Linked DNA regions of Sus scrofa. The protein of the gene in region 2 interacts with the protein of the main gene of each other region in a biochemical or structural test. Links are inferred from orthologs where the notes say so. Each region holds a gene or a part of one and is shown on either strand. Other genes may lie near its edges.

Region 1 (4,548 bases), on a different chromosome or scaffold from region 2:
AGAACTCCTGGACTGGCTGCCAGCAGATGTGTTCATGGCAGCCCAAGGCTCCAAGGGTTGGAAGGAAATGCTCAAGGGTGCAGCTGGCAGGGTCCAACGCAAGAGACCCCATTCCAGATTGGGATGTTGTGAACAAAAAATTTCTTCAGACCCCAGCCTGGCCCTCTAGCATCAGAGAGACCTAGGACAAAGCCACTTCTCCTCTGAACCCCAATTCCCCCCCCTTTTTTTTTTAATTTTTAAGGCCACAGCATAATATATGGAATTTCCCAGGCTAGGGGTTGAATTGGAGCTGTAGCTGCCGGCCTACGCCACAGCCACGCAGGATCCAAGCCACATCTGTGACCTACACCACAGTTCATGGTAACTCACTGGGCAAGGCCAGGGATCAAACCCGCGTCCTCATGGATACCACTGAGCCACAGGAACCCCAAAATGGGTACACACTTCTACCTAGCTCACGGAGTCTGTAAAGTGGGCATAACCATACCTACCCTATGGGTGTGTTTTGAGATTTAAATGAGGTCATGTGTATAAAAGGTCTGTCATATGCCTGACATACGGGAAATGTCGAATAAAATTCACACAGCTCTAGGAGCTCCCTTGTGGCACAGTAGGTTAATGATCCAGTGCTGTCACTGCTTGGGTCACTGCTGTGGCACTGGTTCAATCCCTGGCTCGGGAACTTCCACATGCCATAGGTGCAGCCAAAAAAAAAAAAAAAAAAAAAAATCACCAGCTCTGGAAATGATTTGCCATTCTGTGCCTCAGTCACCCCTTCTAAAATGGAGATCATGACAACAGTATCCAAAGCTCTAGGATGTTAGCATTCAGCAAGTTAATCCATGTGAGGCATTCTGAATAGCATGTGGAACACAGAATGCACTCAATAAAGATCAGCCATTGATCTCATGATTACTGCTTTTACTGCTGCTGTTAACCCCATCAGGCAAACCCTCTAAAAGGCAGCAGAAACAAGGAACAAATCCCTAGAGTAGAAACATTCTACAGAGCTACCATGGCCTCAGAGACTCAGGGACCCTTCTCTCCAGCAACAACCCATGGAAGCCAGTTGGCTTGGAAGCCAATGGTGTGGACCAGAGGGACTGTCTGCCTCCTTTGACCGCATCACCAGCCCACACTAGCTGGGTCAATCAGGGACTGTGGCCAGCCCTCTGGGAACTCCAGACCCAGGGCAAAGGTGACAGAGCAAGCCAAGGTCACAAGTTCACCAGGGGAGCAGGGGTAGCGGCCTCACGACTGGGCCTAGCTGCTCAGCTCCCCCCAACAACCACAGCGAGAAACTAGATCCATAGGGGATTTGGCTGCCCCCAGTCCTTCAGAGCAGCCTTCCTCTCTGGGTTGGTGTGGGCCAGGGGCACTCCCGCCCAAGTCCGCCTGGCCTCTGCGGAGGGGAACAGCTGGGAAAACAGCACTCAGCCTCACTGCCGCCTAATGGTGAAGCCAACTGTTATCGCCTGGTGGGGAGCGTAAACATGATGGGCGGCTGGACTGCTGACCAAGGAGACACAAACATGTGTGTGTGGCCTTATGGCCAGAATGGAGGGGCCTGGGTAGTGCCTGGACCCTTGGCATCCACCACCAACCACTATTAGTGCAAGGCTCGCAATGCTTCTCTGAGAGGGGAAGAGTAAACAAAGTTGAAAGGCAGACCAAAGACGACCTAATTAAGCCCAGGGCTCTTGCTGAGCCCAGTGGCTCCCAAATGAGAGGCAAGGGGTCCCCAGAATCCCAAGGATAAAGATGTCCCCAGCCACCCTACCCTCGGGGAGCAGTGTCCCTCAAAAACTCCTTCCTCTCGAGTCTTAAGCAGGCCCAGGGGCACAAAACCTCAAATCTAAGCTCGATATCGTCTCCCCTCCCTAATATGGAGCCAAAAGCTCAGAAAAACTTAAGTGGCTTCTAAGATAACTCCCCTCCTCCTTCCCCGCCAAAACCACGGGAAGAATTTGCCACAGAGGTGTCCCACACACCTTAAAATAAGGTTTAATATCATGAAAAGGTTCTAGAGTAGACAGCAGTCCCACTGACCATCCAATTCTCCCCAAAGTCAGTAAGAAGTTCAATAAAGGGTGATCCTCCCTTCTCCGGCTCAGTGTAAACCCCCAGGCTCCACCCAACAAACACAGGAGGCAGAACCCCCTCCTCATCACCCAGCATCACAGCGCTCCCCAAGTACTGCCGCGGTCCCCCCGCCCCGCGTGGTCCCTCAAGATTAACATCACAACCCTCCTTTGATACAGCTCAGCTCTACGTTCTAAGGATGGCTCCCCCCGGGACCTCAGTGGTACAACCCAGAGGGCGCTCCCCGAGCCACACTTGATAGCGCTCCCTCCCCAGAAGCCCCCACCTCTCTAAACACGCTCTAGGAGCTGTTCCCACAGCCCCGAATAGGTCCAGCCCCCTACGCTACGCGCCCCCTCACAGGCTTAGCTCTCGCACGCCGGGCGCGCTCTCCCCGCTAACCCCACTGACTCAACCCACAGCCCGGACACGTTGGGGTCTGCGCCCCCAGCCCTTCCGTGGTTCCGTCGCCGCACTTTGATATGCGCCGCCTGCCGCTTCGGTGGTACAGCTCTCCGCCCCCGCCCCCTCAGGGCTAGTCCAGCCGCCCCCGCGCAGCCACCCCCACTCAGTCCCGGAAGGGGGGGGCTTAAGGACCACGGTTCCCGCCCGGAGAGTACCGGTGGTTCGGCCCAGCGCGGCTTTCCGGGGGGTCGGGACGCGACCAACGCGGGGCAGGGAGCGCTCGGGGACACGCGCTGGCGCACTCACCTGTCACCGGCGGCCGCCCAGCCCCTCTGGCGGGGTTCTACTCCTGCCCATCGCCACGCTGCGCTTGATCCCTCTCCCTGTATTTCCTGGCGGCGGCAGCGGCAACAGCAACGCCTTCGCGGAGCCAGGCCCAACGGCTCGCGCGGCGCGGCCCCCCCGCCCCCTCCCCCAGCCCCCGCTTACCGCCCCCTCCCACCCTTTGGACGGAAATACCGCCTTCTCCCGCCACAAACAGGAACTGACGTAAGAGAAGGCGAGAGGGACTCGGGGAGCGCAAGAACGCAAGCGCAGGGCAGGGGCTGTGGCGGATTCAGAGCCGGGCGCCTGCGTACTTTAGGCAAGTTTGAGGCGGTGTGGTTAAGGGATGTGCCTCGCGCGTGCGCCAGACGGAAAGGCGAGCTAGAATTTGCGCATGCTCAATAGGACTTTGACGCCTGCTTTCCCTGGAGGCTACAGCTGTGATATTTCCCGGCAGCCCCTGGTCCTTAATTACATAGGCTTTGATCTCTTTTTACTCTGCTCTCGCTTCTGGTCCCGGTTCCGAGCCGGGGAGCGGGCGTTAGAAAGGGATTCCTTTTCTGTATAGCCTCTCATGGTTGAGCACAGATTCTGAAGTCACAGAAACCCAGCTTTGTATTTCCTTGCCGGTGACTGTGACCATTTTCTGTGCCTCAGTAACCACATCTGCAAAATGGAAATAATCATAGCCCTGTCTCTGGGCTATGGGGCTATTTTATGTAAACAGAATGATTTATATCAATTAGACATGCTATGACTCCAGAATATTAAGATCCTATTTGCACGACATATGTACGCAATTAAATATGGGATATAACTTTTTTACAGGGTAACTTGGGCTTACCAAGGCCTTAAAATCGCCTTGTAAAAAAAACTTTGCACAGATGCTGGCCCGTTTATTAGTATACCGGGGAAGCTGTTAAAACATCTGGCTCCCTCTCATAGGTTGGGTGGGGCTTCCTACCTTCTGAATTTGCGTTCCAGTAATACTACGCAGCTTGGCAAGTATGCATTGGTTAGTGTATACTTCTAGAAGGCCTGGCTGGGAGTTGAAGAATCCTGGGTCTACCTAAGTCTGTGAGAGTGTCTCAGGCAAGTTCTGCTCAGTGGAGGTAGTTTCCCCGGAGGTAGTTTCTCCAAAGGTAGACCTGGTGCTGGAACTAGTCCTTGGATCCATGCTGGGTCTCCATCTTGGAACTCTGCATAACTTACCCTTATGTAAGAGGCACTCTGATATTTCTTTTTTTTTTTTTTTTTTTCTTTCAGTGTTGTTTGAGACCCTGCTGAACTGATTTTCTGACCTACTAATGGGTCATGCAGTTTGAGAAATACTAGTCTGGGGGCGAACAACACTCATTGGTTTGGTTTTGGTTGTGGGTTTGTTTGGGAGGGGTTGTTTTTTGTTTGTTTTTGTCTTTTTAAGGCTGCACCCGTGTCATAGGGAGGTCCTCAGGCAGCCACAGCAACACGGGATCCAAGCCAGGTCTGCGACCTACAACGCAGCTCACAGCAACGCTGTATCCTTAACCCACTGATCGAAGCCAGGGATCGAACCTGAGTCCTTATGGATCCTAGTTGGGTTCGTTAAGCCAATGAGGGGAACTCTTTTTTTTTTTTTTTTTTTTGGTATCATTTTGGTTTTCTTTTTTGGCTGCAGTAAGTGACCAGAGCTACTGAAATGACAACACCCGCTCCCTAACCTGTTGAGACACACTGGAACTTCCAACACTCACT
Region 2 (4,436 bases):
TGGCCAATGGTCAAAATAGTTTCTTACAACAAAATTGGAACTGCTTTATCTAATGTCCATAACAATGTTTTCTGTTGACAAAAACAAGTGGGGTGCCATTCCCCGCAGCATAATTGAGACTGACACAAAATACCTTACCTTCCAGAAACTGAAGTTGTGGTAACTGTCCAGATATTAGCCTCACTTAAAATGATTTCAGCCCAAACCCAAAACCCAAAACCCAAGAAAAAGCTTTTTGATGAGAACAATTCATTTCACTCCCTATAAACCCAACATAAAAAGCTGGATTCTCTGCTGTCTTAGCTCAGCTCTCAATGACATTTTGTTGCTACAGCAACAAAACTCTGCTACCTGTGGCCATGATTTGTTAAGAATTCCTCCAACCAGAAAATTCTGTGCTGTGCATTCATAAAACCAACAGAATGGCTCCAAGCAACGTAAAAATTAAAGCTCAAGTTCCTCCTTAGGATTTATGCACCCATATATTTATAACATGTATACATAGCTATACACACACACATACAATCATGGCTCTCCCATCTCCATCAAAAAGGTAAAACCACACCAAATCTTCATTTTAAAATCAGCATAAAAAACAGCTGTGTTTTAGATTTCATTGAATAATTGCCATTGTCTCCCAAAATTTAACTTAACAGGTAATAGAAACCAACCACCACGATAGAATTTTAAAAACAAGAAAATGTATCCAATTTCAATCCAAGCTCATTCCAAAACGAAAAAAAAAAAATTCCTGAGGCATTATTTCCTACCTGTTCCAGTAAGTGTGACTTCTTTAGCCATGAGCTGATTCAGAAAACATGCAGTTAAAGAACAAAGAATAAGGATGACCATCAGCACCGCCACCGCCACACCAGGTCGCGGTCTACTCACCCTCACTGGGGGGCTCCAGGCTTGCGCCCTTGGCTGCTGTGCCCCCTGGGAGCCCTGGATGTCTTTCGAGCTGCAATTGGCCCCAGCGCTGCCCTGAGCCCTCGCTGCATTTGGGCAGCTGGTGCCACTGCCCCCGGCCGGGCCAGGTTTCCAAGGCCTCTGCTTGATGCCGTCCAGAAGTCTGACCAGCAGGATGTTGCTGGGGAGCTGTTCCACGCCTGAGCCAACCAGGGTCCTGCACTCAGGGCATCGGAGCTCGTTTCGGGAACCCACAATGCCCAGCAAACAGCGTTTGCAAAACGTGTGCTGGCAGGGCAAGACCTTGGCGGAAGCATCGAGCCGCTCCAGACACACGGGACACTCCAGAAGATCCAGCAGAGCGGACTCATCCATCTTCACCTAATTCAACGAGGAAACGGCTCCAGCAGCGCGCACAGTCATGTGCATCCCTGAGAGCGATTCATGTAACATCCATGTCAGACGCTGCTCTGGAGTCGTCACAGCCCAAGAAGAGAAGACAGAAAGTCCTATGATCATCACAGAAGAGCCAGGAACCAAAAGTGTACTCCAAAGTCAGCAGTTCAACACAGAATAGGCTTTCTAAGCAATTCAAAATTAACCTGTAAAGATATCTAGGTTCCTGTGCAGAAATGGCTATCAAACCCCATTGAGCATCCCTACAGCAAACAGGATCTATGAAATGCAGTAACAATTTCCTCTGTTCTCAACATGCTATCTGCTGCCTGTATAAAGTCCTCCAATGGCATGAGAAAGTGAGCCTTTAACTGAAATTCCTTTCAAATCCAACCAGGTGCCCAATATTTAAGCCACTTTAGTGATTAAGAAACCACTCTGGTGTGATTCGCTTTTGGCAAGTGATCCCAATATTAAATACATATGTTTCTTCACTGGTCCTAAGACTTAAATCTTGCCCAACCAAAACAAGATGAAGGTTGACAATTCTAAAGGACGCACTTAAGTCTGGCCTTGAAACGGGCAGCGGTTGACAAACTCTGAAACCATTTCTGAACAGCCTGTGCTAATCCCATTCAGAAAACCTGGCAAAATTATCACCCAAAGAATTTGAGAATGGAATGCTGTACTGGGAATCGTGAGCATAATAAGAAAATGGGGCCATTCAGGAAAAAGCCTTTAAACCAGACCCTGCACTGCTCTCTCCACCCCCGGTTATATGTAGACATGCCCAGGAGAACCGGGTGGCCGACAGCAGGAACGGCCACTCCTGACGGTTGGGCGGGGGCCAGGCCGCCCCTATGCTCGCCGCAGGTACTGCGGACCCGCGTGGACGCCGGGCCGGGGTGGGGGCCTCTTATGGACGACGGGCCAGGTGCTGGGCGGCCGGCGTAGACGCGCCCGAGGCCAGGTGCTGGAGGCGGGCCTCGTAGACACCGCGGGGCCAGGTGCCAGAGGCCGCCCGTATAAACACCCTGGGGCTGGTGCTGTGTCCGCCTGGATAGACACCCCGGGGCCAGGTGCTGGGAACCACCCGTGTAGACGCGCCCCAGGGATGGTGCAGTGGTCGCCCGCATAGACAGCCTGGGGCCAGGTGCCGGGAACTACCGGCGTAGACGCGCCCCGGGGCTGGTGCAGGGGCCGCCCCCGTAGACCCCGCGCTGGGGCCAGCGGAAGGGAGGGGAGGGCAGGGCCGGGCCGGGTGGGGACATCCGCCGCCTGGCCTCCGCCCCCGGGCCCGGCCGGACAGGAGCCCAAGCCCGCGGGAAGTTTCGGGGGCTTGGAAAAGCCCGCAGCCCAGCGTCGCCAGGTCCGTCCGCCGGGCACCCGGGGCGCGCGCCGCCGCAGGGACCCGGGGCGGGCCGCCCCGCTCCAGCCCGGGCCGGGGGCGCGGGGCTAGGGGCCGAGGGTCGGGGGCGGGGTCCTACCTCCGCGCGGCGCCCTCTTTGTCCGCACGCCCTGCGCTCTCCCGCTCGCCGGCCTCAGACGCCGCGGCCGCTCGGGGCTCTGCTCGCCAACCGCGCGCTCCCGCCGCCGCCGCCTGCCGGGCCGGGGGAGGAGGAGGGGAGGGACGGGGAGGGGGCGGAGCAGGGGGATGGGAGGGGGAGGAGCAGGGGGATGGGAGGGGGAGGAGCAGGGGGATGGGAGGGGGCGGAGGGAGGAGGGCGGAGAGGGAGGAGGAGGAGCAGGGGAGGCCTCCCGCCAGCCTCCCGCGTCTGGGCTTCGCCGGCCCGGGAAGAGGTCCCAGGAGGAGGGGAGGGGCGGCCGCCGCCGAGGCTGCGAGAGCTGCCGAGAGGGGGACGCGGTGGCCGCGCGGGGTCCGCAGAGGCGGAGCGGGCTCCGCCCCGACCCCGGCCACAGACCAAAGCGTGAGTCCGGGGGGTCGGCCCAGAACCCGGAAGGCGGGGTCGGTGGGAGGCCCGCCCCGGACCCGGGGGTCAGCCTGGCTCCGGGCACCGCGCGGCCCTTCCCCAGCCCGGCCGGCCCGAACCGGCCCCACGGCCTCCGGGGCAGGGCGGTGGGCGGGGGGGGAGGGCACACACCTGTAAAGCTGGGCACACACCTGTAAACGAAAGGTCCTTCGAAAAAACACGTCCACAGATTTGGGCGATCGTTTCTCAGGCTCAGTTTAAAGGGCAAACGGGCTCAAATTTTGTCATTGATCTCAAAATTGTCATTTTATTTGCATTTACCATCAGCTTAACAAAAAGTTATCCCACATACCCGTCCTCTAACGTATGCAGAAAATAAGGAGAAAGGGTGACAGAGACCCGTTTAAAGGAGCTGCTGCCAGGCCACCAATGCACCTGACACCTTGAAGGGAGTCAGTGATCTTCTGGGTCTCCAGCCAGGCCCACAGCCAAAGCATTCAAGACAAATGAGAATCCCCTGAGAAAGGAAAGGCTGTGACAGGTACAGTGATGGCTCCCTCACTGTCTGCAGTCACCTGCTAGCCAGGTGGAGTAGCCCAGCTCTCACTGCACCCCCATATGCGTCCCTCCCCGGCTTTGCTCTCCTGGATGAATATGCTCACAGCCAGTACTCAATGCCAGAAAGGACATCCCACGTCCCCTCCATTAGAACACGTACATTTGAGCTGAGAAACACAAGGGGAGCAATGAGCAGAACAGAGCATTTTTAACCCATAATCTACAAACAAGGCCCTTAGAAAGTGATGTCTTAGCCCACACACCTCTAGTTTCCGCCAGCAGGTGGATGGAGGGGAGGTTTATTAGAAGGTTACAGGCATTAAACAGATAAATATTATTATGTGTCATTTACAGTTATTAACACCAAAACTCAAATAGGATCACTTTATCCCCAGGTCACAAAATCAATCAGGCTGGACCAAGATGCAATTGTATACCTGGATCCCAAGTTCAGCTTTTTTCCCACCACCCCAAGCTCCTCTTTCTCAGGTCACCTCAGGCAAACCTGAACACACTGTGTGTGTCCTCCCCAGGGAAGAGTGACACTCAATGAGGTAAAGACTCTGGAGACCAAAGGAAAATGACATTTTACTTTGTTATTTGGCCACTGGTTTTTTTTGGGGGGAGGCGTTGTTTGTCATT

The links.
Region 1: the proteins of SH3RF1 (region 2) and AKT2 form a complex in vitro, tested with the Homo sapiens proteins (2 studies listed by BioGRID and IntAct, with this or other methods). The link is inferred for Sus scrofa from reciprocal best matches to the Homo sapiens genes SH3RF1 and AKT2.

The regions. Positions count from the first base shown.
Region 1 is NC_010448.4:48,603,217-48,607,764, forward strand, and holds the start of AKT2 (RAC-beta serine/threonine-protein kinase), read right to left. Parts: upstream 2,974-4,548; 5' UTR 2,797-2,973; intron 1-2,796. UniProt on the Homo sapiens protein: Serine/threonine kinase closely related to AKT1 and AKT3. All 3 enzymes, AKT1, AKT2 and AKT3, are collectively known as AKT kinase.
Region 2 is NC_010456.5:20,419,107-20,423,542, reverse strand, and holds the start of SH3RF1 (E3 ubiquitin-protein ligase SH3RF1), read right to left. Parts: upstream 2,926-4,436; 5' UTR 2,793-2,925; intron 1,380-2,792; 5' UTR 1,285-1,379; coding exon 892-1,284; intron 1-891. UniProt on the Homo sapiens protein: Has E3 ubiquitin-protein ligase activity. In the absence of an external substrate, it can catalyze self-ubiquitination. Stimulates ubiquitination of potassium channel KCNJ1, enhancing it's dynamin-dependent and clathrin-independent endocytosis.